Linked DNA regions of Mytilus edulis. The main gene of each other region encodes a partner of the protein of the gene in region 4 in a complex. Links are inferred from orthologs where the notes say so. Each region holds a gene or a part of one and is shown on either strand. Other genes may lie near its edges.

The links.
Region 1: the proteins of UDP-N-acetylglucosamine--peptide N-acetylglucosaminyltransferase 110 kDa subunit-like (region 4) and TGF-beta-activated kinase 1 and MAP3K7-binding protein 1-like are in contact, whole or in part, in a crystal structure (PDB 4AY6), measured with the Homo sapiens proteins. The link is inferred for Mytilus edulis from reciprocal best matches to the Homo sapiens genes OGT and TAB1. Residues at the interface, in NP_858058.1 of Homo sapiens: Asp441, His506, His508, His509, Asn567, His568, Pro569, Gly641, Tyr642, Thr643, Lys644, Ala646, Gln849, Phe878, Pro904, Val905, Ala906, Pro907; in NP_006107.1 of Homo sapiens: Pro389, Val390, Val392, Pro393, Tyr394, Ser396, Ala397, Gln398, Ser399.
Region 2: UDP-N-acetylglucosamine--peptide N-acetylglucosaminyltransferase 110 kDa subunit-like (region 4) and KAT8 regulatory NSL complex subunit 1-like share a complex: the UniProt entries of both Homo sapiens proteins name them as parts of the NSL complex. The link is inferred for Mytilus edulis from reciprocal best matches to the Homo sapiens genes OGT and KANSL1.
Region 3: UDP-N-acetylglucosamine--peptide N-acetylglucosaminyltransferase 110 kDa subunit-like (region 4) and KAT8 regulatory NSL complex subunit 3-like share a complex: the UniProt entries of both Homo sapiens proteins name them as parts of the NSL complex. The link is inferred for Mytilus edulis from reciprocal best matches to the Homo sapiens genes OGT and KANSL3.

What each region holds. Positions count from the first base shown.
Region 1 is NC_092352.1:76,407,050-76,414,754, reverse strand, and holds the start of TGF-beta-activated kinase 1 and MAP3K7-binding protein 1-like, read right to left. Parts: upstream 3,008-7,705; 5' UTR 2,911-3,007; coding exon 2,857-2,910; intron 2,066-2,856; coding exon 1,929-2,065; intron 1-1,928. UniProt on the Homo sapiens protein: Key adapter protein that plays an essential role in JNK and NF-kappa-B activation and proinflammatory cytokines production in response to stimulation with TLRs and cytokines.
Region 2 is NC_092345.1:6,818,107-6,825,912, reverse strand, and holds the start of KAT8 regulatory NSL complex subunit 1-like, read right to left. Parts: upstream 3,009-7,806; 5' UTR 2,286-3,008; coding exon 1,123-2,285; intron 1-1,122. UniProt on the Homo sapiens protein: Non-catalytic component of the NSL histone acetyltransferase complex, a multiprotein complex that mediates histone H4 acetylation at 'Lys-5'- and 'Lys-8' (H4K5ac and H4K8ac) at transcription start sites and promotes transcription initiation.
Region 3 is NC_092347.1:90,586,562-90,593,428, reverse strand, and holds the start of KAT8 regulatory NSL complex subunit 3-like, read right to left. Parts: upstream 3,005-6,867; 5' UTR 2,898-3,004; intron 1,967-2,897; 5' UTR 1,932-1,966; coding exon 1,774-1,931; intron 153-1,773; coding exon 1-152. UniProt on the Homo sapiens protein: Non-catalytic component of the NSL histone acetyltransferase complex, a multiprotein complex that mediates histone H4 acetylation at 'Lys-5'- and 'Lys-8' (H4K5ac and H4K8ac) at transcription start sites and promotes transcription initiation.
Region 4 is NC_092351.1:28,979,665-28,987,432, reverse strand, and holds the start of UDP-N-acetylglucosamine--peptide N-acetylglucosaminyltransferase 110 kDa subunit-like, read right to left. Parts: upstream 3,017-7,768; 5' UTR 2,518-3,016; coding exon 2,469-2,517; intron 1,488-2,468; coding exon 1,337-1,487; intron 1,050-1,336; coding exon 806-1,049; intron 261-805; coding exon 192-260; intron 1-191. UniProt on the Homo sapiens protein: Catalyzes the transfer of a single N-acetylglucosamine from UDP-GlcNAc to a serine or threonine residue in cytoplasmic and nuclear proteins resulting in their modification with a beta-linked N-acetylglucosamine (O-GlcNAc).

The DNA.
Region 1 (7,705 bases), on a different chromosome or scaffold from region 4:
ATATCAATATTATGCTTAAAGATAAAAAAAATATATATCTTTTTGTCTCAACAATGAATCAACCAAAATATACTGTAATTGGTAGATTTTCGCAGGCACATACATAAAAATTGCTGCGGGGTTAAAACTTTTAATCAATACCTCTGCATGTACACTTTTGATTTGGCGGGATTTATTTTGGCGAATTTGTTCTATCTGCGAAAATAAGCGAAAATTTATACCCCATGAAAATGACCAGCTATACAGTTCATGTATGTAGAAATAAGAAGATGTGGTTTCAGTTCCAATGAGAAAACTCTCCATCCAAGTCACAATGTCTGTAATAAGTAAACAATGATAGGTCAAATTAGGGCCTTCAAAACAGAATCTTGACTCACACCAAACAGCAAGCTATACAGGCATGACAGAGTGTAAAGCAATTCAGACTCATTAAGAGTGTTTTTATTAACTCATAAATGGTAATCATATCCATAATATATGTTTATTTATTGTTAAATCTGTGTTCTCCCAATGAATATCATAAAGTATCTGGTATATCATTGGAAATTGGAATTCCCTATGAATATCATAAACATGATAAAGTATCTGGTATATCATTGGAAATTGGAATTCCCAATGAATATCATAAAGTATCTGGTATATCATTGGAAATTGGAATTCCCAATGAATATCATAAAGTATCTGGTATATCATTGGAAATTGGAATTAAATACCATGTATCTCATCAAATGACAAAGGCTTTGAAGTGATGTAGGTGAAGCTGTAATAACACCATTTAGTTATTACAGGGATACTTTTTTTCTGTATCTACATGTATCTAATGAAATAAAAGTTTAGTATACAGAGACGATAATAAGATAAATAGAACTTGTATACAATTTAACAAAAACAAAGTACATGTACATCTGACAGTGTACATAAACTAGAGGCTCTCAAGAGCCTGTGTCGCTCACCTTGGTCTATGTGCATATTAAACAATGGACACAGATAAATTCATGACAAAATTGTGTTTTAGTGATGGTGATGTGTTTGTAGATCTTTCTTTACTGAACATTCTTGTTGCTACAATTATCTCCATCTATAAAGAAATTGGCACAGTAATTACAGTTGAAAATATTTTCTAAAAATTTACAAAAATTTATGAAAATTGTTAAAAATTGACTATAAAGGGCAATAACTCCTTAAGGGGTCTATTGACAATTTTGGTCATGTTGTCTTATTTGTAGATCTTATTTTGCTGAACATTATTGCTGTTAACAGTTTATCTCTATCTATAATAATATTCAAGATAATAACCAAAATCTGCAAAATTTCCTTCAAATTACAAAAATGTACTAACTTGGGGGCATCAACCCAACACATTTTGTCCGATTTGTCTGAAAAATTCAAGGCAGATAGATCTTAACCTAATGGACAATTTTAACCAGTCTGATTTGCTTTAAATGTTTTTTGGTTTCAGAGATATAAGCCAAAATCTACATTTTACCCCTATGTTCTATTTTTAGCCATGGTGGCCATCTTGGTTGGTTGGCTGGGTCATGCAACACATTTTTAAAACTAGATACCTTAATGATGATTGTGGCCAAGTTAAGTTACATTTGGCCTAGTAGTTTCAGAGAAGGTTTTTGTAAAAGATTACAATTTATGAAAAATTGGTAAAAAATGACTATAAAGGGCAATAACTCCTTAAGGGGTCAACTGATCATTTTGGTTATGTTGACTTATTTGTAGATTTTACTTTGCTGAACATTATTGGTGTTTACAGTTTATCTCTGTCTATAAAAGTATTCAAGATAATAACCAAAAAGGACAAAATTTCTTTGTATGTTATTTTTCTCTCATTACTTATCTAAGTTATACCCTTGACAAATTAAAGCTATACATTTGTACTACATTGTACTAGGTAAGTAAAATCAATTGAATTATACCTAAAATGAAAACTCCTGTCTTCAAATTCATGTTCTTCTTGTCTAAACCCGTCTTCTCTGTAGAGTTGATTTGTTGAGAATCCAACCCCAGAAAGCTGACAAACAGGCAAGTCATCAGTCCAGCTCAATGCATGACTCTGAAAAATATAAAACAGAAACATTTGACAAACAGGCAAGTCATCAGTTCAGCTCAATGCATGACTCTGAAAAACATACAACAGAAAAGCTGACAAACAGGCAAGTCATCAGTCCAGCTCAAAGCATGACTCTGAAAAACATAAAACAGAAAAGCTGACAAGCAGGCAAGTCATCAGTTAGCAATTTTTCCATAAGTAAAGGGTCATAATTCTAGAATGGTAACAGTAACACCATAAAAATTCATACTTGATCTGTGTTTTGTGGTACAAATGTAATAAGCATTGTCTATAAGTTGCATAACATTTGGTTGAGGCAAACTCAAACTTGTGTAAGTTGGAGAATGGAAACAAAAAAATTAACAAGTTTTACGTTTTTAAAGGACTTAAAAGGGGCATGTCTCTAGAACGGTAAAAGTGACACCCCAAATTACATACTTGATCTGTGTTTTGTAGTATTAAGCATTAGGTATAAGTGTTATTCGGTCATACATTTACATGTTACCCCATGTTTTAATATATTGCTAAAGTGTGCCCTCCCCTACATTGGAGTCATTTTGAAATATTCCAAAAGGACCCTTTTAAAAAATATTTAGGTGGCAAGTTTACCAGCTGCAGATTCTTAACTTGGTACCGAAGTGGCTGGAATTCGTGTTGGGATGGCTAAGGAAAGGAAAGAGTCAGAGCCAGAGGCAGAACCCCTACCAGAGCCCTTCCTCTTCCTCATGTACACTTTGACATACACATAGATCAAATTTCCATAATCTTTGATTATTATAAAAGTAAAACCGTACCCCTAATCTAGGAGGAGACCCTACAGATCCGTTTGCAAGTCTAGTTGCAGCCATATCCCGTTAAATTTGGCAATGAAAATGAATTTCTACATTTTTTTAAGAACGGAAGTTGTTATCATTCGGATTCTTTCCACAGGTGTTGCAAAAACCTAAAGCATTGCCCCGATATCAAATTACTGTTAAAAACCGATAGATAAAATTTAGCAAGGTAATATCACCACGACCTTCAATGAGTATCGAAGGCTCCGCTAAGACTGTCGCTGTCAGTGTCTTTTTGTTCATTTAACTGACAGGTTCAGCGTTAAGAAATGTACTTAAATCATAATTTAAAAAATCTAGAATTTTGAATTGAGAGACAAAACAAGACAAGACAATATTTTATTGGCATAAACGCATTTACAATAAATGGTAATGCCGACCGAATGGATAAACAATTTGCAAAACATGGTAGTAAAATACAAACAATTGTCTGAAAGATTGTGTAACAATACCGATAAATAGATGGAAAACAAAACACTAAAAAGTGTTGAATATCATTGCACAAAGATGGAAAAACTGAACAGATGATATAAATTATACAATAATTGCAAATATTTCGGCTCAACAAATGGCCTTCTTCGGTGACAAAAGTTTTAACAATAATGAGATATAATGTATAAGGTGTAAACATAGATCACTAATAATACAGGTAAGTTTTGGTCGATTGATTTTAATCCAAAATCCTGAATATAATAATATTAACACTAGACTGTAAATTTAATTATTTCTTTCTATTGATTCCATCTGGATATATATATATATATGTGAATAAATGATTACAGGTATAATGAACATCTATTGCAATAGATTACTTCTAGCATTTAAACAATTTGTTACGAAAGACTGGGAAGATAATTTTAGTGCCGTATAAGATGTACGTATTATTAAGTATAAGATTTATTTTATTCTTATCGCACAATGGGGTTATGATTTTTTCCTGTAATTTTGAACATTTTTACAAAATACAAAAGTCTCTCTAATACTGGAGTAACCTCTGCAGTGTAGCAGCATGTGCTGTTCATTTTCAATTTCGCCACCGGTTTTTACAGATTTCACAAATTTTTTGATCTCTTGGCACTTTTAAATATCTTCCTCTTTCAATGGCAAGGTTATGAGCACGAACTCTTAATTTACACAATGATGATCGATCTGATCTATTTTTTAAAGCATCGACAAAACCTGCCCGTTCACTCATTTTGTAAACACTCTGGAAAAATGTTAATCAAATTTGGAGATGCTGAAATATTTGCATGTTGTTCCTGAAAACCCTGGTCAATTAGTCTTTGTTTTATAAAACCAAAAAGGGGTTTAATAATAAGGTTATCATTTGACAAATAGAACAGAACAGAACAGAACATATTTTATTTCCAATTAAGGGCCCACAAGGGGCATACAGAGCATACATGAATAAGGAAAAAGACTATTGATTTGCATAGATACATAGATACTAACAATTTTTTACATGCAGTTACAATACAATTACTAACTCATATTCACTTTAATAAATTTACCAACAGCATTAAGGACCTGACCTAAAATATGATAAACATAAGTTTTGAATAATAATATTAATCCTTTTAAGTAGGTTTGTGTAGCATTATATATTTGGTGAACTAAACTTCCTTCTGAAGTGATTAAATGGTCCCAGAATTTAATACTAGATAACATTATCCTATTTTTCAATGACAGTCTTGCAAGTTCGGAACGACATGCATCATTCGAGGCCTAACAATGTACTCCCAAGATTTCTTTAATAAATTTTATATGCAACTTTTCATAGGCATCACTGTCTTTAAATGTCGAAATAATCCCCCACATTTCGCTACAATAAAGGAAAATAGGGGCTACTAAGGAATCAAAAAGTTTTTCCAGAAGTTTACGAGGGTTATCTAATCCTATTGGTTTCTTTATTCTAAAATATGCCGCTTCCTTATTTTTTCCATAAGCGAAGTGATGGCGACATTAAACTGACTGCCATTAGGGGACGACCATTTGATATTCTGGGGGGGGGGGGGGAGGGGGGGGGGAGGAGGATTTTGAAAATGAATAACTCAGCCTTAATAATCACAAAAATAAATGGTTTGTTCTGTGGTAGTTTGAAAATAAATAACCTGACTTACAATGTATTGAAAATAAATAACTCAGCGGGTCTAATCGAAAGTATGAGATGGCATCAGATTCTTCATAAAATTTATCTTTTTTCCACACAAAAATCGGGAAACACTTCCCAAATCTTTTAACAATAAAAGTATAAATATTATCAAATATACTTGAAATGTCTGAAAATAGGTTTGATTTCACTTGAGGTATCTTTTCTCAGGAACACTTACCTCACTTTTATTACAGGGAAGTAACTTCATTGAGGCAAATAGGCTCATGTAGGAAATTTCAAAACCAAAAGCTTGTCTTCATATCAAATTGTTTTCACTGAAAGCTTCTTGCAAGAAGCAAGTTCTGTTCTCCTTGGACATGGCCCCTGTTTTTTTCAGGATCAATGTTTCTTATTTATTTGTCTTTTGTTCATTCTGTATTCTGTTAGTGTTGCATTCCTTTTGCAATTTAGTAATTTTGTTATTAACTTAATCATGAGTTAAAAAAAAAACCAGTCACATACTTAACTATAAGAATTACATGTTTGCCTTATCCTACATTTTGGTCTTTTAATGTAGTCCCTATACCAAGGACGTATAACTAACATACGTCCTTGCCTATACACACTTAATTCTTACACTGAATCTACACATTTTGCTTTGAGACCAAAATATTGTCAAAAAAGATTAAAGCAGAACTTGCATTTTCAGATTTAGAAAAGGTCTGGGATTAACACCCAGAAAGCATGACTTAGCATCATTTGTTCGGTAGCTTCTTGGGGCTTTCAGCAGCATCAAAACCCTTCCAAAAAATGTTTGCCTCGATCCGCTGGGCGAAATATGTTTGGCAATAATTAATAAAAAGGCAAGTGGCAGCAAAACTTTAATACTGTGTATGTATGAAATACATGTATACGCAGTTGGCAAGATTCATTCCTGCAGAGGATAATGGTTAATTCTAATTAAATTAATGACAATGATTATACATAATAGTTACATGTATTATTTGTAACATGTATAATAAAATTCATTTAAAAATTGTGTTTTTAAATATTATAAATATAGTTGTGAAAATGAATAATCAGTCCCTTGTTTTAATGAAACTGAAAAATCTTGCTTCAACAGTGAAGAAAATAAATAATCTGTCCTCTTAGTTTACAAAAATAAATAACCGATCCAAAACAAATCATCCTCTCCCCCGCCTCCCCCCCCCCCCCCCCGGCCAGAATATCATATATCTAATATTGATACCGAAGTAACAATAAGTACTAACTGTCTCTTTATTTTAATTTTTGGTAAAAATGGTAGTTTATATAACTATGCAGATGACAATACTTTGTCTTTTTGTACTCCAGACTTCGATTTATTAATTTCAACTTTGGAATCTGATTTAAAAATACTTATTGAGTGGTCCAGGGTGAATAAAATGCAAGCAAATCCTGACTTTTTTCAAGTTTTGGCTGTTGGCAAAAAGACCTTTGAAAAGAACCCATCTATACATATTCAAAATTCGAACCTCACTTGTGAAAAAACAGTAAAATTATTAGGCATTGAAATAGACTACCAGCTAAATTTTGATGTTCATATCAGCTCAATCTGTAGGAAGGCAATTAAATGTTTTAAAACGTTTAGACTCATTTTTGGATAGACTTAGTAAACCGTTACTATATTTCATACTTTTATTCTTAGTAATTTTAATTTTTGCCCTTTGGCATGGCATTTTTGCACTGAGAAAAATTCTAAAAAACTAGAAAAGGTGCAGGAAAGAGCACTCCGTTTTGTGTATGATGATTTAACAGCTCCTACGAGGACCTCTTACTTAAAGCTAAGGTGCCCTCCTTGCAGATCAGACGGATAAGAACAATGGCTCTAGAAACTTTTAAAATTATAAACAACATAGCTCTTGTGTGCTTACAAAATTTGGTGAATGTCAAAAAATCTAAATATGCTTTCAGGTATGTAAATATTCTTGAAATTCCACAGTCACCCCGTTACGGTAAAAAAATCGTTCAAATTTGCTGCTGCTACTTTATGGAACAGCCTTCCAAACCATCTCAGGACTGAAAACAGTTTTTTTTTTTTTCTATGGTCGGGTTGTTGTCTCTTTGACACATTCCCCATTTCCATTCTCAATTTTATTTCACATTTTAAAAGTCTTGTTCAGTCCTGGAACGGTTTGGAATGTCGCTGTTCTGCTTGCAGATAATTCTTGAGCTGTTTATTATGTAATGCTGCTTTTGGTTGCTCTGGTCAAGCATGTTGTTACTTCATTCGAAAATTTGTTGCTTATTTTTATTGCATGCTATGTATGTGAAATTTCAACTTTGTATTACAGGTTGTTTTAAATGTCAAAATGCACTGGTTTTATGTTATTTATATGTTTTTATATTCGGTCAAAAGCTCCTTAGAGCTTGTGTTGCTTATTTGTACTTATGCCGAATCAAAATAAAGTTTTCTTATCTTATTATCTTATCTTATCTCTAAGGGTTTGCCATTATAATGAAATTCGTTTAGAAAAAACTTTCCGTTTGAATCAAAAACCATTACTTTTGCTTTCTCTGTATTGACTTGTAATTTAAAAACCCACAGGCACTTGTCTCAGATTTATATAACACGTGTTATTATAAAAATGTAATTATAAGACGTATTGAATGCTTATTTTAGTAAGTTCATAGGTTAAAAGAGTTGACCGTGCGCGCATTTTTAGAATGCTTCTGCGC
Region 2 (7,806 bases), on a different chromosome or scaffold from region 4:
ACCATTATTGATTTATATTTTGTTATGGGTTTCAAGAGAGTTGGCTCATGAATAGCATACATGTAACTGTCAATCCCTTGTAGAAAACAAAAAGAATGGATTAAACATACATGTATATATGCACAATCTGTTAATCTGACAGATTATCAGCTTCCAATAGTATTAAATGTTTTGGGGAATTCCAGATTCTATTTTTAGAAAACTGATGTCATCAAGCACAAGGTGACCTACATATTACATGTACAACTGGATACATTTTGTAATTGAAAGTCTCCAATATGGGGAACATAAATAAACACATAAAACAAAGATTGTTGGAACATTGCTGTTCACAATTGAAGTATATTAAGGGCTGGGGCAAACATTACAGAAACATGAGCAGAAAACAATGCACCAAAAATTTGTGAGTTGTTTTTCCCAATGATGATATTCTATTTAAAATCAATGGAAAAATCACTTGAATCATCAAAAGAGGGATACACATGTAGCTACTTGTAAGGAAACTATTCCCCTTTTGACAGGTACAAAATGTAGCCTCCTTACATGTATGTAACATATGTTGCTCAATCTCTAATTTTCTGTGTCAAGTGTTTGATCATATTTGTTGTCAGCTGCCTTTCATTCACTACTTGGGATTATTCATGGAATCAGTACTTACTTTTATGGTGTGGACCAGTTGCAGATTCAAAGACAAACAACAATGACACACAAGTTAATATATTTTGTGATTGATCTCTGGGTGTCTCAAGATGAAAGAACAATATCCTGTCTTTATAAAGTGCATTCTTGATTGATTTTGAGTGAAGATATTCCCCTTGGCCATTTTGGAGGGGTAAATGGTTGATTTTCATATCAACATGTATGATTAACCGAAAGATGATGAGGTACTTATGTTCAAACAAGTCTGATAATAAACACAAGAAATTAAAATTGATCAGAAAACACCTTTTATTTCCCCTAGCGGTCAGTTTATGGAATCGATTTGGCTGATTTTTGAAGGAATTTGTCTATGAACATCTCCAAAATCATCAGCAACAAAAGGGAAGTAACTCTAGCTCAAATTGTGTCAATAAAAACAACGGTAAAATAGAACTGCAAACCAATCTAATAAATGATACTTACAACAGTGTTGATTTGGATTTCTTGCAAGTTGGGTCATCTTCATCACAACTTTCTCCACCAGAGCTACTCTCTGTTACATCAGAATCACAACAACTCTGTGCATGATGAATACTGTTCGACAACAGTCCAGATACTCTGATAGATTCTTCTGCTGTAAGCTTATCGATCGTCAAAACACCAGTTGGTCCACTGTCTGACTTAGAGTTGAGGTAACGCTGACTCAGCGATAAAGACGACTGACTGGACTGTAGTCTTCTTACTAAATTCACAAGAGCTGCTGTTGATAAACTTTTTACATCATCACTGTTGAACAATTCAGTCTTAATTTCATTTAAATTATTTGATGTTGAACTCTTTATTGATTTTGCAACTGTCTGTAGGTTTTTATGCTGATATCCAACGAAATTTCGGAGTTGTGAATGCAAGTGCGATTCAACCCCTTTACTTTGTAGTCGTCGTAAGCGTCTTAATAAATGTTCGGTTCTGCGTTCTAAAGTATGTTGCTTCTTTTTAACCTCCTCTTTCAAATTTGAATCAATAGGACTTTGAATGTCAGTGTCCATGTTAGGCACTTCTGTAGTGCTAACAGCATCCACTTCAGAACTGGAAGCTACCATTTTGTCTAATGTTTTAAATTTATGTTCAGAATCAGCAAAATTATTTTCTTCACCCAATGGTATCTTACTGTCGACAACTTTAATTGTAGAATCAAATTTTAGTCCGTTATCACTCTTTAATTTTGTTTCAATATCTTCATTGCCATTTATAACATGATTTGTTTGGTTCATGTTTTCACAAGCAATCAATGAATGTTTGCCGTTGAGAAACGGTTTAGGTAGATTTTCTTTTGTTGTAATTGTGTTGTCTGATTCTTCAAACTTGAATTTGATTTCTTGACAACCAATGCTTTGGAATAACCCTTGCTGTTGCAACTTTTTAAGCTCTCCAATGGTAACATGGGACGTCAGCCCACTGATGGGCTTTGCTCTATGTGGCTGATTATTCTTTCCGTTTGGAATACCACCAATGGATGGCACATGTAACTCTGGATTCACTGGTGGGGAAGATGGAGATATTTTGATACAGGACTGAGTGGCTGCCTCAGTTAGCGCAGGTGCCATAACGGCCATGCAACATACTCTCAAAGAGAGAGGCACAGACATGCACGATGGTTTGGCTGACGTAACATCATAGATATTGCAGAATCTCACCTGTAAGCATGTAATTATAGTGTTGTCAACTTTAGTGTACAGAAAGTACGATCGAGTGACACCTCAGACGCAAGCCCGACGCGCCCGTTTGTCCTTAAACTTGGTTCGAAGCACGTGACTATTTTCAACCCCAAGTACTTCTCTGTGAAAATCAAAACAATGTTAAAACAAAGCAATGTCAATAGGTCACCTGTATCGAATGGCTATGCAATGACATTTATCTAGGAACTGTCACATAAGACAAATCTAAACGATGAATAAATGTCTAATATTTCTTCAATATTATCAACATAAATCGTAACACACAAACCACGTGATTCCTCCACGTCCTTTATGCACACATGCATGAATTTTAATGTCCGACCATTTTTCCGTTGCAAAATCGTACCTTTTTCGAGCTCATTTTTTCCAATAGTTATGAGCAATTGGTAGATAATAAATTAAGGAACAATTTGATATAAAGCACCTAAAAGATCACGTTACCATTCCTGAGAAATATGAGGTTTTATAGTCCGCCCATTGATTGTTTTAAACCACAGTAATGGCGTACACTTTACACAAGGGCCATCACACAACAAAAATGCGGGCTAACTAGCCTCGATTCTATTTACAATTACGCATATCCCCCTCTCAGCTCTATTTTGTGATTGGTCGAAACTCTGTCGGGTGATGAGTAAATTCAGTTTACGCACTCCTTACAATATGCCTGTTCTTGACACTATATTTTAACAACTTAAGCATTGAAATGTTTTTTATTTAGAATTAAATGTGTTAAATGTATATTTTCATAAGTTGAAATTAATTTTACTTTGCTTGATTTGAATAATGCTAATGGAATTAGTTTTGTAGGACGTGAGAACAATCTGTCGGTTAACTTCTTGGAACAGCTATCGAATTTTACGTCAATACAACCTTCCGTGTTTTGTGTATTATGCCAATGATATTGCACGACAAAACCCATGAAATTATAACTTAATTATAAAAATATTTGAGAAAACTGATTAGTATTAAATATTAAACATGGAAAGAAATTATGCATTTTAAAGTCAGCTTTCAGCTGATAAAAAATACATCAAAATTTACCAATTATAGTTATCCCAACTGTGCAAATCTATGCAGACTGGTCAGAAAAAGACTTGATCCGAAGAAAAAAAAATGTTGGAAATGTAAAAACAACGGAACAATGATCGACAAAAGATTTTAATCAATAAAAACAACCCTGACAAGTTACTCGCTAATCCTAAATCAACTTCAATGAACTAGGCGGACACCAAATATAGATCAGTATAGACTCACCCCTCCCCCCCCCCCAAACCCTAAAAAAAGACCAACCCAACATCAACAACAACCAAACAAAACATAACAAATACAAATAACAACAGCAAAAAAAAACGAATACAAAGATGAATAAATGTATATATATAAGTATATATACACAAATATGTAATAATATGGGCTTGACTTCTGGCCGTTAATTTCTATCCTAAAAAAAACACATAAAAAGCATATGTTTCAATGTTCCTTAGAAGCAAATAAACCATCAATTTGACCCTGACCGTATTTTTGTTGAGACATACAATAAGACTTTCCACTGAAAACTCAGTTGGGTATAACCAATGCCATAAGATCTGTTCTTGAGGGAATTCTATAACCCTTATTCAGTTAGGAACAATTAAATACTGTAAAATGTGTCCCAATGGAAATGACATTAAAGAACAATTTTTCCATTTGGAACTTATATTTCACGACAAGACTACGCCTGCAAGGCATCCGTTCAGTATATATCAACCATATATAGTCCATTCTTTATGCAATTGCCAAATAACATAGGCACTTGGGGCAGGACAAGCGTCGGCCAGTCCCATTTTTCAAAATCCGTTATTTTTATTTTGTATTTCACTAAATTATTTTCTTGGTTTTTTTTTTCTTATAGAAATTTATATTATCAGTGACTATATAGGCTACTGTGGATAGTTGAATAGCAATTGATAGTATGCCGTAACCGGCAGTGTTTCCAGAGAGGCCCAGTACCCCAGTTATGAACTTTATGAAATCACTAAAGCATGACTGGAGCGGGTCCCCTCTTAATTAAGCAGTCAATGCCCCCTTTATGAACCCCTCCCCTTTCTGAAAATTTCTGGATCCGTCTCTGGTTTACAGTATTTTCATGTAAGATATATCCGCAGAACCACCGTGATAATAATTGAAAATTAAAGATAAGAAAACAATTATAACGGATAAAAAAAAGGAGGGCAAAAAAAGTCTTGTTCAAGTACCTACGGGAAATCACAATTAATGACTTGCATGACGTCTTGTTTCATTGTATACTTTTTCACTATTTTGGTCTTTTTGGAAAATGACTATTTATTATGTTGTTTGTGCTGTTTTTATACCCCTTTATAACCAAAATGAATGTGATTGCATGCAAACGTATAAAAAATGCTGTTTTCATCCAACGCACTAGGTTTGAACGTTGTTTTCAATTTAGGCTTTGTTTCTGAATCATAATTCTAAAAATGTATATAATTCATAATAAAACATCGTTTACACCAAGACAAGTTAATTCCATTAAAAAAAAATCCAATTGCTAAAAACTTGGACTTTATTCAAACTAGATATATAATAGTCCCTGAGAATAGTCCGGGACTCCCAGTTACGAAGTTGGAGACTAGAAAGGGAAACAAGGTACACATACAGTTATATTAAAATTAGGAGCTTTTTAAATTTTATATTTGTTCTCTAGCTATGACAGTATACATCTTATGTCAAACTTTATTAGCAAAAATTCAAATTGACATAACACTCCGAAAACTGCTGAAAATCTCGCTGAAAATAAAGTAACTAAATTCAAAATGTAACAGTCTGAAAGCTATACTTCACATAAATATACTGTTAAGTAATATTAATCTGGATATAGATTTTTGTAAAAATGTTGAAACACTATACATTTGGAAATATATGCATAAGGTGGCGACAGCGTCGTTCGCTTCACATAATAAAGATGGTCTTTCGAAATACATGTTCCGCTTGACACGTGGAGCTAACGAAACGTGATCGTGAGTCATCGATATCTTTAGTAAATTCTTGTATAAGGGGACATAACTCTAACTAAACTTATGAACGGAATAAAACATTGAAAAGTCCACGAACCTATATGTAATGAAGATCATATATAATTATGGTGTAGTTAAGGGTTGTTAATTGTCTTTTTTGGGGTTTTTTTTCGGGGGGGGGTTCACATTGCCGATATTCTCAAAACAAATATATTGAATATAATCATATTTAATTGATGTACCCACTTTCCCTCGAATACTAGTGTAGAACATTGATTTATTTTGTTAAAAAAATATAGATAACTTCAAAAACCTCATATTTTTCTTTTGCTTTACTGTAAGTATTTCAAAGGGCCTAATTTTTCTCTTATTTTATTTTGAAATTCTGTTGACATGACTATTCTCTTGTCTTTATGTATAATCTCTACGAGGCGCCGTTTTACTATTTATTCACTATTTTCTGATATCAAAATTTTTTTTTTATCAGAAAATCCTTTTTTTTTTATATCAGAAAATAGTCTTCATTTTTTTTTTATATATACAAAAAAAAAATTAGAATATTTGATATCAGGAATTCGATTTTTTTATATCAAAAATTCTAATTTTTGATATCAGAAAATAGTGAATAAATAGTAAAACGGCGCCTCTGATAAATCTCTATATAATATGTTATTTTGCGCTATACCTGTATCTCTAAAACACAGTCGCATAGTAAAGCAAAGGAAAAGAATACGAGCATGAAATTGTGCACTGATAAATAAAGGAATTGCCGAAATTTATGCAATATATCATATCGTCGACCCACGCTGCAAAACTTGCGTCGATATATAAATGTCAATAAAATACATGTTTCTTTCACAATTATGACTGCATTATGTCGATTATTTGCACGTGTTCTCCTTTATCTATTTACTTTGTCATTTTGTGCGCATGTAGTCAGTTATGTTCATGTGCAAAGTTGAAACTACATTTTCCGTCATTTTTTACACCAAGTAAATTATATTGCCTTTATATTGCCTTTATATAATAGGAAACAAATTGTTTGAACTGATGATTTTAGGACCCATGTGATCATTTTAGAAAGTATAGAAACGTGAAGTGAGAGTACTAATCTCTAAATACGTCAGTCAACAAACTCTTCATAAAGGGTTCCATAGACGGCCTGTGGAAAACTGTTTTCATATACATATATTTCGACCTGTTAGTCAAATGCGTTTTGTTTAAATATACTTTTACATTTTTTTGGTCTTTTGGAAAATGTTGTTTGTGCTGTTTTTAGACCCTTCTACAACGAAATTTGTTTTACAGGCACACGTATAAAAGTTGCGGTTTTTATCCAACGCAATCATAGATTTGAACATAGTTTTCAATTTAGACTCGTTTATATTTTTTCGTTTGGGCTTGTATCATATTTTCCCTCCGGTTTATATGATCCGTTCATCCTATATTGACTCTTAAAATTCAAAAGTTTATCTAAAAATGAGGGTACATTTTATATGGCCTTCCAAATACCGTTTCGATCCTAAACCTCACTGAAGAGACATTTATTGTCGAAATCCGGATCTGGTGTACTAAAAAATATTGACACCGTATGTTTGTGGCATAACATCGTGGCCACAAGTTAAAAAAAAAAATTTCTGTTTAGTATTAAATTTACAGTAAGATCCATTTTGTTACATCTTGTGATCAATTTTATTTGGCAATCGCCAATGGCAGTCAGCAGGGTTAAAGAACATCAGTTGTTCGACCTGTTAGTCAAATGCGTTTTGTTTAAATATACTTTTTCACTTTTTTGGTCTTTTGGAAAATGTTGTTTGTTCTGTTTTTAGACCCTTCTACAACGAAATTTGTTTTACATGCACTCGTATAAAAAATCCAAAAACCGCAATATTGTACACCCGGTACAATATCGTATTTAGTCAGTCAACACAGCTGAAAACGACACCAATTATCCCGGCTTGGCAAAGTTCTTACTCAGGAAGAAGAAGTCGACCCAAAAGCAATTAAATATGCCAAGTTTTTTCGAAATGTCTCTAAATTTTGCAACTCCCCTCTCCTTAAAAAATCGAAAATGATACTCTATGAAAAAATAGAGGGGAGTTTCAAAATTCGGAAAAAAATGTTGCCGTACGCACTAGACTTCTAGATGGATAACTACTAAAATGTTGCCGTACGCACTAGTTAGACTTCTAGATGGATAACTACTAAAATGTTGCTGTATTCAATGCATAAGCCTCAAGGGTTTGTCCTATAGTCTGACTTAATCCTTTGAAATCCCGTGTCAGGCGTGGCTTTGTCGATCCGAATCAATCCGATATCTTATAAAGGTCGAGTGCCACACTCTCTGCATGTAAAATAACCCTAACAGCGTCCGTTGATGGCCTTATGCAAGTAAAAGTTTACGTCTTCACAATATATCC
Region 3 (6,867 bases), on a different chromosome or scaffold from region 4:
TTGAAATTCTTTCTTCCCAGTCCTCTGGGCTTTCTTCTGTTCTCATTAGGGGTACATGTCGTCCACACTCCTGCATTAGACTCCGGGCTTTAGCTGTATCATATGGTGGCTTGCTGGGCTCAGTTACTGTACAAACATCTATTTCTGCTTCCCTAAAATACAAAGCAAACATTAGACTGTTCGTTTTCCCGTTTGAATGATTTAACACTAGTAATTTCAGGGCCCTTTATAGCTTGTTGCTTGGTGTGAGCCAAGGCACTGTGTTGAAGGCCGTACTTTGACCTATAATGGTTTACTTTTATAAATTGTTATTTGGATGGAAAGTTGTCTCATTGGCACTCACACCACATCTTCCTACATCTATGTTTATAAAAGTAACAACTGTTAAAATGTTCTATCAAATTTCAAGCACATATTGATCCAACACATTTGAAGAAGTTTTTCTTTAATCATCACTTTCTCTTCCCCTATCTTTCCTGTTTGTTTGTTGGTGTGTTGTTTTTTTGTTGTTTGTTTTTGCATAGGTGGTATTATAGTTGATGCGTGTGAGTTATGTCATATTGTGTTTGCAAATTTATGTCTGCTTGTCTAAAAAAGAAAGTGTGATATAAGTCACTATGAGGCAACTTTCTATCAGAAGACTGAAGGACAAGAATATAAAAGACTATAGGTCTCCTCTGTTGTTATTTTCTCTCATGCTGTCAATATTATTGATACTTTCATTCATCAAAATACATTCAACAATTTTGTAAGTTTTTAATTCAAAGGATCTTTTTTTAATACATGTAGGTGCAACTTTTCTCACTTACATTTTAATTCTTCCTTATGCACATAATAAAAACAAGAATGTGTCCAAAGTACATGGATGCCCCACTTGCACTATCCTTTTCCATGATCCATGGACTGTAAAAATTGGGTAATAATCTAATTTGGCATTAAAATTAGAAAGATTATACTATAGGGAACATATGTACTAAGTTTCAAGTTGACTGGACTTCAATTTCATCAAAAACTACCTTGACCAAAAACTTTAACCTGAAACTCCCACTTTCATTTTCTATGTTTAGTGAACCGTGAAATTGGGGTCACAAGTCTAATTTGGCTTTAAAATTTGAAAGATCATATCATAAGCAACAAGTCTACTAAGTTTCAAGTTCATTGGAATTCAGCTTTATCAAAAACTACCTTGACCAAAAAATTTAACCTGAAACTCCCCCTTTCATTATCTTTGTTCAGTGGACCGTGAAATTGGGGTCAAAAGTCTAATTTGGCTTTAAAATTAGACAGATCATATCATAAGCAACAAGTGTACAAAGTTTCAAGTTGATTAGAATTCAGTTTCATCAAAAACTACCTTGACCAAAAACTTTAACCTGAAACTCCCCCTTTCATTTTCTATGTACAGTGGACCGTGAAAATGGGGTCAAAAGTCTATTTTGGCTTTAAAATTAGATAGATCATATCATAAGCAACAAGTGTACTAAGTTTCAAGTTGATTGGACTTCAGTTTCATCAAAAACTACCTTGACCAAAAACTCTAACCTGAACGGACGTACAGACGAACTGACGCACGAACGGAGCCACAGACCAGAAAACATAATGACCCTCTACTATCGTAGGTGGGCATATTGTAGGTGGGGCATAAAAACAATTTCAACAATTTATTTACATGAATGAACCAGCTAGCAGTACCTCACATTTTATCAAAGATCCATTAATATAAGGATAACAACCGTCAGCTTGCAATTGAGTTTATTTTATCATAACTGTTACCTGTTTTGTACGTGCATTTGTGTAAGATGTGGTAGCTTTGGCATATATAACTTTTTGATAGGTCTGGCATTACTGGCATCAGGATGAGCACTCCATGGCTTGGAATAACAATGGTCCATGGATACTGTACTGCCTCTGTCTGGTTGGTAAATATCCATTTTAAGCAAAACTTATACCTCTACTGAAAAATGATCTGAAACAAAAAATCAAAATCAAGCTTCTGATTCTGCGGTATTGGATCCAGAACTGAACAAAAGTATTCTTGTTTGGGGCAGATAAGTGCTAAATACTAATTATAAAGTTTACTTTATATAGTTATTATAATTTATATCAGTCAGGAACAATTTGTGAATTTTATGATATCAATAATTTTATAATTAACTGACCAGTATATAACAGAGGCTAGATCAGAACTTTTATTTATGTCAAGACCGCCACTATTTTCATTCTCTAATAATAGAGACCATCGTATATACATATAATACAGCAAATAAGAATACTTATGACGTCTTGAAAGGCTATTTTTAAAAAATTCTGTGACGCCTTCATATCATATCATATTCCTAATTATTTTGAAATTATGATTGACTATCATATCTTTACGATAATTATTTTTACAAGGACAATCAAATTGAATCCTCACCCAACACAAAAGGAGTGCTAGGACACTGGGAAGTCTTTTATATGGGGGAGGAAGCTGGAGTAATAGGAGAGAACCACCAGACCACTGGGCAGAAACAGACAACCTAAGAGATATCAGAGGATTGATCTCCAGGTCAAAGTAGGGGACAACTTTGACCAGCCTAGGCGTCCAAAGTACACATTCTAGTTTAATGGTCTAGGTACCAGAGAAATGTGTTGGAGGGTGAAAATCACCCTTGTAATGTACTGAAATATCTAGCACCCCGAGTCAGTATCGATCTCGTGACCTTCAAGCACTGTAGGAATCGGTCTTAACCACTAGACCATGAACCCACACTAATAAAGTAAATTATATGATGTTGATTGTTGTGATGTTCAATTTAAAATGTTTTGAGATGGTTTCGTCATAGAAAACAGCGACCTTTTATATATCAGGATCAAATTTTTGACGGCGACAACACTGCCGTCATTCAGTTACTTACAAATAATTGGGAATGCTGTCTTATGTAGCATTCATACTAAATATATCGACAAAATAAAATTTAGCATTCCACGCCAAAATAAAAAGGTGAAGGTCAAATTTCTAAATGTGTTACGATTACGGAATGGATATAATTTTTTCCCGGAATCCACAGCTTCGTGTGATAAAAAGATAAAAAAAAAAAAAAAAAAAAACCTAATGAAGGCATTAATGAAACTATATGATGAAGATAAGAAATAAAAAGTGATGGTTATCGTCATGTAATGTCATTTTAATGTTATAATTAACATTGCCATTAAAGCGGGAGGTTTGGCATGCCACAAAACTAGCTTCAACCCATCTTTTTTTTTCTTAAAATGCCCTGTACCAGGTCAGGAAAATAGCCATTGTTATGTCATAGTTCGTTCCTGTGTGAGTTACATTGTAATGTTGTGTTTCTGTTGTGTCGTTATTCTCTTATATTTTTGATACATTTCACTCAGTTTTAGTTTGTAACCCGGATTTGTTTTTTTCTTTATCAATTTATGAATTTCGAACAGCGGTATACTACTGTTGCCTTCATTTATGTATCATAATTTTTATTCATGTTTTATGTGGCATTCCTCTATTTTTCCCGTTAACAGTCATGGTTGTTCTTTTCATACATGTACTTAGGTCATGGCACAGTTTCAAGAGATTGAGACTTTTGTTTCTTTATGTCTTTCAATATAATTGATCAGTCACTTTGTCCTTTTCAAATTAGTATAAATGTTCATCATTAACTATACTTTTTATTCTAATTCTGCTCTTTTCTGGCTCATAAGTGTCATTTTGGTATTTTTTATGGAGTAAATATATTATTAAAAATTTGCTATACTCCACAGGATCCAAATTGGATGTTTACACTTTTTATTTATTACATTAAAAGTCCATTCATAGACTAGTACTGGACTTCTGATTACATATATATCAATATAATACATTTTTTTTATAATATACTTGAATGATAAATTTCAACTCACTGATGACAAATGCTCATTACAATGTGTACAAGATAACTTGTTTAACCAGTGGAACATATTTCACAGACAAGGAACTTATTTCACCAAGTGAGGAACAAATCTCACAAACCTAGAACTTATTTCACCAGGTAAGGAACAAATATCTCAAACCCAGAATTTATTTTACTAGATAAGGAACAATTTCATCTACTTGGAACTTATTTTATAGAGATGTAACAAATTATATAGAAATCATCTGTGAAAAAAAAGTTCTCCCAGAACATATTTCCTGTGATATAAGTTCCACTAGAACTTTTTTCACAGGAACAAATTTTGGCTCACATCTAATGCATCTTGGTTCTTTATTGGACCATTATCATAACAAGAGGATAGCCTGTATAGCTAACTTGGTTGAAAGCTAGTGGAGACCTTTAAAATTGGACTTGCATGGTCTTTTTGTCTTGCTGATTTACTTTGCTATTTATATTTTTAAACTAGTTCCTGTATATTTTTTTATGATCACTTTTGCCATTTAAAATTTTAAACTAGTTCCTGTATTTTTTCAGATAAAAAATGGGAAAATAGGTAGAAATTAATATGACAGCATCAATATCAAATACAGAATGCCCAGGTTAGATAGAACTTGTCCTGTTGATCACTTCTGTCATTTTTTACTTTTAACCCAACGAGAAGTGCAAAAAATATTAGGGTCAAGTAGTGATGTGTTTAATAGAAAACTAAACAACAACAAAAGCTTAACTTTACAACTTTGTAACGCATGCATTAAGCTTGATTACATTTTATATCCTTTTGTAATCAACTTGCACAAACACTGTATATTTTCTGACCCGATTACAGTGGATTTCTTGAACAAATAACTTTTTAAATTCAACCACACAAGCATAATATGTATCATATAAAAAAGAAGATGTGGTATGATTGCCAATGAGACAACTATCCACAAAAGACCAAAATGACACAGACATTAATAACTATAGGTCACCGTACGGCCTTCAACAATGAGCAAAGCCCATACCGCATAGTCAGCTATAAAAGGCCCCGTGTTTTCATGTTTTCTTTAGAAAAATAACCACACTTTTTCTAATACATGAAAGGCCTGGAGATAGTGCAGACCTGTCCAAACTGTAAATTTTGTTTCTGTCACAATGACCAGGAATTAATGCTAAAACCATGCTAGCTTTTATGTAATATCATCGGTCATATATTTGTATGTTGTTTTTTTTTATAATTTAACACTATTTAGGCTGATCAGATACAATTAATCGTGATGTGTTGCCTTGATTTTGAGTGTTGGAAATATTATATATATTGATACAAAATATAAGCCTCATTATGGTTTCAATTTACAAAACTTACTTGATAGCCAATAGATTGAAGACCCTGGTTAATTTATACCATATCTGGTTGTTGCAGTTTTATAGCAAAAAATATTGAAACACATACAATTAGCTTCTAAAAAAGTTGTGTAGCTGGTCATGAAGCAGAATATTCTTGAAATTCTATTAGCACCTAACTGTTTCTTAACACATAAAAAGGAAACCAGGAATCACAAAAGTATTGGACACCTTTACCATGCCCTACGGTACCATCAATAACAGACTCTATTGAGAAAGAAGACATACAAACTAAGACAAACAATGAACGACAGATCTATGATATAGGTATTATAATACCGGAGTGGTGTAGTAAAGTCAGTTTTACATGCCCATAAACCTCACCATTTGTCTATTTAGACCATGATATTTAATTATACCACACAAAATGTAGCTACCAACAGAATGACCACTAACTTGATCAAGGAAATAAAAGGGACACTTGGTTATATGGAAAACAGGGTAATAATTAGAGTTTGATATCTGGTATCAACAACTGTTGCTCATTGAGGACCTCTCATAGACCTGTGATTTACTTTTTATTCATATTGAGTTGATGTCTTAAACACATGTACCCTAAATCTTTTATATTCAGTAATACGAATTCTGTAGTGTAACTGAAGTTCAACTTTGATTCTTTGTGAGATTACCAGACTTTCTGTAATGCTATCAAATATTTTGAAGAAATGAAAATCTTTCAACTTTTTAGATTTTGAAGGGAACAAATACAAAAATACAACTAACTACAATCTACATCAAAATTAGGTTTATTTTCTGATTTATTTTATTTTGTTTTGTATTCACATACATCTTTACAAAATCATGATAATATTAATAGTTGAATTAATCACATATTAAACAATATATTAAAGATATTATTGCTAAAATGTATAACTTTCATTATTATGCATGACACATTCAGCCAGAAACCAATTCGTTCATTACTAGTAGAGGAAACAAACAACATGAAATATATAGTACAGACTTCATTTTTATTACAATGGAAAAACAACTGTTCATATTTATTTGAGTCATTTTCTAAAAGCTTCTTGTCAACAATCTTCATTTACTTCGAAAAAAGAATAAAAAAAGATACCATGTAACATGCTTAACAGACTCACATAAAAAAATAAGTTCTAGCAATTTTCAATCTGAAATTAATGTTCTAGCACAGCAAAAAGTAATAAAATAATCAATAAGTCACATTAAAGAAAGACAGGAATAAGTCAATAAGAGTCAATTTTTTTTGGGCAAAATTATTTTTAATTGCAATCCTGAATTATCTCCCTTATAATTGGTATAATTCTTTATTCATATCAATAGAGTTTTGATACTGAATAATAAAGATGTCAAGCTTATTCAACACTTTAAGAGACATACTTAAAGAGTTCATTTAACAAGATGAGAATATCTATAAAAGGTGCAATCACATGCTGGATATATACCAAAGCAGTAGAGTGTAATAGCAAAGAAATGAAAGTTTTGATCTTATTCTTCAAATCAGTTTATCAAAAGTACTAAATTATTAAATTAATGATAAAAGTAATGAAATTAAGCTTTCAGGCCATCAACCTATTCTCTGAAATTAATTTCTTAT
Region 4 (7,768 bases):
ATCTTTTTTATGATTCTGCATCTATGCTGTCTTTTAAGGGAAGTACAAAACCATGAAACATCTGAACAGAAGCCTTTTTATCCTTCTAATTCTCATAATGCTGAGATTAACAACTATAATAAAGTTCATACAATTAAGGGAAAATGTTTATCTTGACCCAACTTGTTTGCTACATTTATAAGATCTCCTACCTTAGCCTCATCTAGTCTTCCTAATGCCTTTAGTAGATTTCCAAGGTCACTTCTCACACAATATAAATCCTGTAAAACACAAGTTCAAATGTATAGTTAACAATTAAATCTTTTGTATTCAAAACAACTTCTAGGTGATTTCGTCCCATTTCTTGTTCACTTATACTTTCAATAAACAAATAATGAACTATCTTAACATTAATATAATAGCATTTGTTTCTACTCTGACATGCATCAGTAAACATGTATTTAAACACAAAAAAAATAACTAAATACTTTGAACTTTGAGAATCCTCAATTCAACCTCAATAGCAGAAATTTAGTTCTGGAACTTACCTGTCAAACCTTTCACACACTTATTTTTGTTGGGTTATTGTATCATTGACATACACACACATCTCATTGCATTTACAAGAAAACAACATACTATTGATATCTTGTTTTAGTACTGAGACTGACAGTCACACAAATACTATTCAAGTCCATTTTACATTATATTATATTATAACAACCATATCAAAAATTAATACCTTATACATATATATATATATATATATATATATGCCAATATAAATTGTTTGATGATGTATGTGAAGAATATAAATCATACATACTGGATTATATTGTAATGCTGTGACATAAGCTTGTACTGCCTGTTCCAAGTCTCCAGCAGCTACGAGGGCTGCTGCCAAGTTAATATATCCATCAATAAAATCAGGCTTCAGTCTAACAGCATGTCTGTAGTTCTCCAAAGCCTCCTGTAGTTGTCCCCTCTCTTTGTAAACATTACCAAGGTTAGAATATGCCTCTGCTAACATTGGGTTCTGTTTAATGGCAAGCTGACTGAAGTAAGCCGATCTGAAATGTATATAAGTAAGTTTTACAATTATATAACAAATTTTTCATGTACACAGAAGTTGATAACTCTAAGTCACTGTTGAAGACCTTCCAGTTGTGTTTACTTCTAAAATTAGAAAAGTCATAAACTGTTAAATGGGCGCTGGTAAAATCACTGTACAATGTATTTCCATGAACTGCAGTCTAAATTTGATGACACAGAGTGTTAAACACAGATGATACAAAAACAGTTGAATACTTGTGTACTAGTTAAATCTATTATGAGCCTAGTTTTCTTCTGAACTTACCTGTCCAGTCTTCTACACTGGAAATGTGTAGAACTAAGTAACAAAAGGACTCCTGTGTTGTCTGGTTCTTGTCTCCATAACTGCATACACAGCTGTTCTGCATTCTCATAATTACCAGCCTGATATTCTCTGTGAGCTAATTCAGCTAAACCTGAAAATAAATAAATTATTTTATATATCAGACATGACATAAAGAAAGATTGATTGTTGGTTGCTAAATGTACACTGACAAATATTTTATGCATGTTCACAGAGTGTGACAAAAAGTGCTGATTAAATAATCTTGAACTTGGCAATCACATTATAGTTAAATAGAAAAGTTTAACCAAAGAGGTGGCATTTATTTACTAAAACTACAATGTAACCATTATTCTAATCCAACCATAACCTTTATGTACAATGTAGCTCTAAAATACATGATACGGAAAAGTAAGAACTGATTGGAGTTCAAGTTTTCTTCATTGTTTAGTGAATAATAGTTAAAATACCATGAAAGAAGTACACAGAGAAAGTACTAGGAAAATGTTCATTGAATAGATTCATATAAAAGGGTACAAAAAGCACCGGAAGTGGAGATGGTCATGAGCTAAAAAATATTTAGCCACATTCTACTATATATATGGATAGTCAAATTCCCATGGAAAGAAAAAGTGTTTGTGCTAAAACAACTCTGATTCAAGTAACCGAAGGCCAAAATAATTACTTTCCTTTAAATACTGGATCATGGGTTTTTACATATAAAAGGTAAGCATATCGAGTTTGTTATTTATTTCAGAAATTGGTATTTATTTTTTGGTTACTCAACGTCCAGTGGAAAGTATTTCATACATGTTGAATTGTTCAGCACTTGATTTATTATAGCTGTGTGCTTACTGATTCTAGTCAACTTAAGTCAATATAATAAATAATAAAGCCTTGCCAGCACACAATTATGTGTAAGACATCACCTTTGACAACTTTAAACCATTTGCCATGCCAAAATTATGACAAAATACATGCAACAACTAAAAAAGGTGGAGGAGTTACTTTGCTGCATTAGTTATTTACTTTTTGTGTACATTGCTCTTGCAACCATTCATGTTTGTTATGCATGCAATTGGTATATATATATAAAATTAGGCTTTCAAACTACCTGTGACATCAGACACGGTAAACTGTGCCATTGTGGCAATTTCCTTCATCCTGACAAAAAATGGCGATCGTCTTTGTCCGTTAACGTCTTGGTAAAAGTTTTATAAGATTCTTGGTTTGGTGAATATTCAATGACTGTATATTAATCACTGCAAGTCAATAATTGTATATTCCTTTCACAGTCATCAAATTTTTAAATATAAATAATGACCACAACATATGAAGTATATATTCTTGGTCTCGTCAGCTCAAACTGGAAATTTTTATTCTGATGACGTCAATGCCTCGCTAGCCCGAAGTCAAGGTCATTTGATCACATACCTAAAACAACTCATTTGATTGGTCGCCTTGTTTTTTGAGGCAACCAAGGGTAAATAAAAAAATTCCACTAAAACATTTATAATTAACAATTTATAACACATCCGCAAACTTATTTTCCTACTTTAAACGTTCATGCTTTTTCACTAAGAAATTTCATAGTCCTGGATAATTATTGTCAGTGATTTTTCGCTATGTAACTTCCTCCAGGGGAGTGTAAGAATTAAATATTGTCCGCCATGAAATTTTGTCCATCGGACATTTTTTCACAGAAAATTATGTTCACGGAATCTATGTATAAATGGACACTTGTTCACAGCATCGGACACATATAAATACACCTTTACTGTGAAAAAATGTCCGCCGGGGTGGACACATTTTCACAGATCACTTTTTTTGGCTCACAAGAACACATCTTGATTTTTCACAGTGGGTTATATTTGTACGGTCCGGCGAAAAAAGCTAAAATCAATTTGGTATTTTACAATATAAAACGCATATCTAAAAGAAGATAAACTTATATAATTACACGGAAGATATCAAAAGTTATTCACTTTGTTACTCCGTTTTACTCTGAATTACCTATTAGGCCTATAGTCTAAAATCTAAAATTATGTTTCTGATTCACTTTATGATGATTTCGTTACCACTGCATGATTACTTAAAACCTTTATTATTTAAAATTCTTCCATAGACGTTTTGTTGCACCTGTAGAAAACTTATTTCAAACGAGATAGCTCATCCTCATTTTTGCGGAGATGTTGATTATAGTGCCCAACTGAACATTTAGAAACGATCCTGGTATTAATACTTATCATGGCAATCCTTTCAACTAACTTATTCTAAAATTTTACTAATTCAACACTGTGATTGGATCTTTTATAAATATTGTTTTATTTGTATTAACATTGTTTTTGTTATCAGTAAACTAAAATCACAACTAAATACATATGAGACATTATCTAAAAAGTCTAATTTCACCAGCAATTATTTTTTTTATTCAGGCATCTTTTTGGAAAATTTTAAGTTTCAGTTTTTACTAGAGTATATAATGCGCCAACTGGACCAAATTAAACATTCTTGTAGTAAAAAAAAAATAGTTTAAAGGGTCCCCCCCCCAAAAAAAAAAATCATGGTGTCCCCTGTTATTTTCTGAAAATTAAATCATTTAAAGAATATCTAAATTAAATAAACAGCCTTCCGAATTTCACAAATCTGATAGATTATATAAAACACTTCTCCATTACTGGCCTGATTTTGTTATAACTAAAGCATTTAGAAAATTTTGCATTTTCAATGTTGTCCACAGGGGAAATTTCTTTTCTGTTACCTCTGGGTGGACACGTTTGAAAGACCAAAATTTTATTTCTTTTAATGCAAGAGTGAATGTGAAGAGCATCATTTCCTGAATGTATGACTTCATATGTATAGGTGAATAGCAGTGAAAATCTTAACTCCCATAAGATTAGAATTTGGAGAAAAAATAGTTTTGTTGTTCTCTCCTGTTACAGCCTTTTTGTATATTTCATTGTCAGCACTATAACAGTACATGTGTTTTTATACTATAGTATCTTATCAAATTAATTGATATGTAGATGGAAGTAAACTTCTACACAATTCGAGTAAATGAACAACACTTTTAAGTAGTGTGTAATTCCGTAATGTTACGTTCTGTCATGTTACTTGATAAAAAGTAACAGCATAACCATGATCAGTAACAGGAAGGATGTTCAAGACAATTTCACTGATGAATCAAAAAGTTAATCTTCTATATATACCAACCATTTCATTTTATATAAGTTGTCATCACCATATTAAATAAAGTTATATGATATACAGTATATTGAATGAAATTTTTTTTTTGCTTTTGATAACAGCAGAGAACATTGTGCAATTCTAGTATAGTAGATAGTAACAGGAAGGAATTTATTTTAGAATTTTTCATTACCTAGGCAGATTTTTCATCTTGCAAATACAGTTTCAAAGGATAAATGACAATGTTTGCTGTTATCTTTCAATTGTGACCACTCTGAAATGATGTATTTTTCATAAACTATAAAATAAAGCATTTTTTTGAGAGAAAAAATTCTTTCTGTTACCAACTCTGTCCTGTTACCGTTGTTCTGTTACTCAAGATTCTTTCATGTTACCGACATATCTGACTATATTTTACGGCATATTTCTAAACCTTTCGTATTGCAAATGCTAAAAAAAATAATTGGCATTTGATAAACTATTGCAGGATATACTAGTAAACCACAAATAGTGTATTAAACTTATTCCTAAGTCCCATTAGAAGCTTTTTTAAATTGATTCACTTTGGTAACAGAAAAGAACTGGATTTTTTTTTGTACCATTTTTAAAATTGCCATTGTTTCCACATTAAACAATTGTTTGAGTTACGGCCAACAGTTCCTAAATCCTCAATGTGTGTTCTTCGATTCGTGCTATTAAAATACCGGGTATAAAGATATTTTTTTGTGTCTTTTTTTATTGCCAAAAATTAGACTTTTTCAGATATTTTCTCATATGCACATTCATGCATCGACAATCTGTCGATACTTGCATCTTGGCATTGCACAAGGTCATATATTTCTCTGAATGTTTACTTTATAACGTCTTACACTAAATCCATTGGATGTTGGATGTGTAATGATTGAAAATGTTGGCCTAGATGCATGATTTCTTAGTTGTTATTGACTTTGAATTAAATAACTACCCGTAACTGCGAGTACTCTCATCTGTACTAGTAGTGTCTAAGTGTTGTTGGGATGTGACAAGGGATTAGTCGCCGGCCAGGTCTTATCATTGTTTTGTTAGCTGTATTTCTATGTGTATCCATCTGACGGGTTGACCCTTTTTCGACTGAGTTTTATAGTTCGTTCTTGATGTTGAACTGTAACACCACTGTCCAGATTAGGGGACGGTTGGGGACCCGCTAGCACGTTTAGCCCAATCACATTATGTATGTTTGTGCCTAACCTAAGTCAGGAGCCTGTGATTTAGTGGTTAACGTTAGTTGCTGTGAAACATTTGTTTTTCGAACATCATTTTGGCCGTTAGTTTTCTCGTTTGAATTGTGTTTAAACTTTAAACATGTGTTATTTCGGGCATTTTATAGTTGACTGTGCGGTATGGACTTTGCTCATTGTTGAAGGTCGTACGGCGATCTAGAGTTGTTAATTTCTGTATGATTTAGTTTCTTGTGAAGATTTGTCTCATTTGGTAATCAAACCACATCTTCTTTTTATATCAATATTGAACTCAGTTTGGGGTAAAAAATATTATTGAAAGGCGACTTGCTTTTCATAAATCAATAATAAAGAATAACTTCACGGTTCAGCTAGCAAGCAAGCTAACCAAAGATATTACCTTTACCTACTTACTCACTACAATCGGTTGTAAATGCTCGTCAACTTCGTATTTGATAAGGCTTTCCAAACGTTCCACTGACGAGTCGTATGTAGACGGAACACGCATATGGCATACACAATTCTAAACTTTAATTATTTAAAAAAAAATTAAAATTATATAAGCAATATAATCTTGTAAAACTTGAGTGCTAGTATGTATAATCAAGATATGAAAAAAATGAGAAAGCTTAACAAATAAAAAAAGTAACTACTTTTCTTCCATCTAGTTTAATTTGTAACAGAATCCCCGTTTACATTAATTTTTCTTCATATGAATGTTTCAGTTTTCCATTATGCACGTGAATCTAAATGCTATGTAAATGATGTCTATGTCAAGCATCTAACATACTACTGAGGTCAAGAGTCGTGCAATCAAGAGGTTTCAACCAGAACTATTAAGGTTAATATGCAGGGTTATTTAAACTGTTACAGAAACATATGAGTCTATTACACAGCTAGGCACTCGTCTCAGAATTGTTTTTTTTATATATACTTTAATGTAACTTTGACTAGCTTGCTTGGTAACTGAACCGTGAAGTCATTATTATATTAGGTAGACTACCCTCCTTTTAGTGTAGACTAGTCCGACAGATAACCGATCGACCTGTCTGTAGGACTATACTACTCCGAAAGGGTGGTAGTATACATTCCTTAATCATGAATTCACGGTTCAGCTAGCAAGCAAGCTAGCCAAAGATATTACCTTTTACTACACCCTCAATGCATTTCGCTGTAATTACAATAACAAGATTAATTTACGGTAACTAATCAAACCAGGAACACTTAATTCTGAAAGCCAAAAAGTATACTATTTAGATCAGGAAAGAGGACTTCCATATTATAAATCTGCCTTTCATTGTCTACTTTAATTAATTTATATCCATGAATATGTCAATTTTAGTTGTATTATATCATTACACTTACTTAATAACAAGGACCAAGCTATCAAGCACATTAAGGAAGCTTTTGTCAAATTACTTGTTGTGTATAAAATCTCTGAGACTATAACCTGTTTGTCACTGCTGTGCCCCATATAAGCATGTTGCAATAAACATGTGGAGTATTAGGTGCATGTAGATTTAGTGCATGGCCATGTTAACTCCATATGATCCCAGTATTTGGTGAGATACCATAGACAAAAAAAGAACAAGTCACAATCTTTCCAGAAGAAAAAGTTGGTTTTTCTTTCATATAACCAACCCAGTAGTAATAGTTGCTGATGTCAGCATACTTTGTTGAAAACTTATTACTTTCCTGTGCATTGTAAAATAAACAGGAGCTTAATGTCCTTTAGGTTTGATGGACTATGATACAAGAGTCTACTAAAATAACTTGGATATAAGCAACTTTAGGTTGCTGTACAGCCTTCAACAAAATATTTGATTGACAATTGAGTTCAGCAGCAAATATTTCATACATATTCAGGATGAGAAAAAAAAATACAATTAATGCAATAGGTAGGTTCTGTAAAAAAGGGATGTAAGGACCAGAATCTCAACTGATACTGTAAAATGTCAGATGTATGTCATGATGGGCCACAGATATTGTGCCTTACAACAGGCCACTTGTA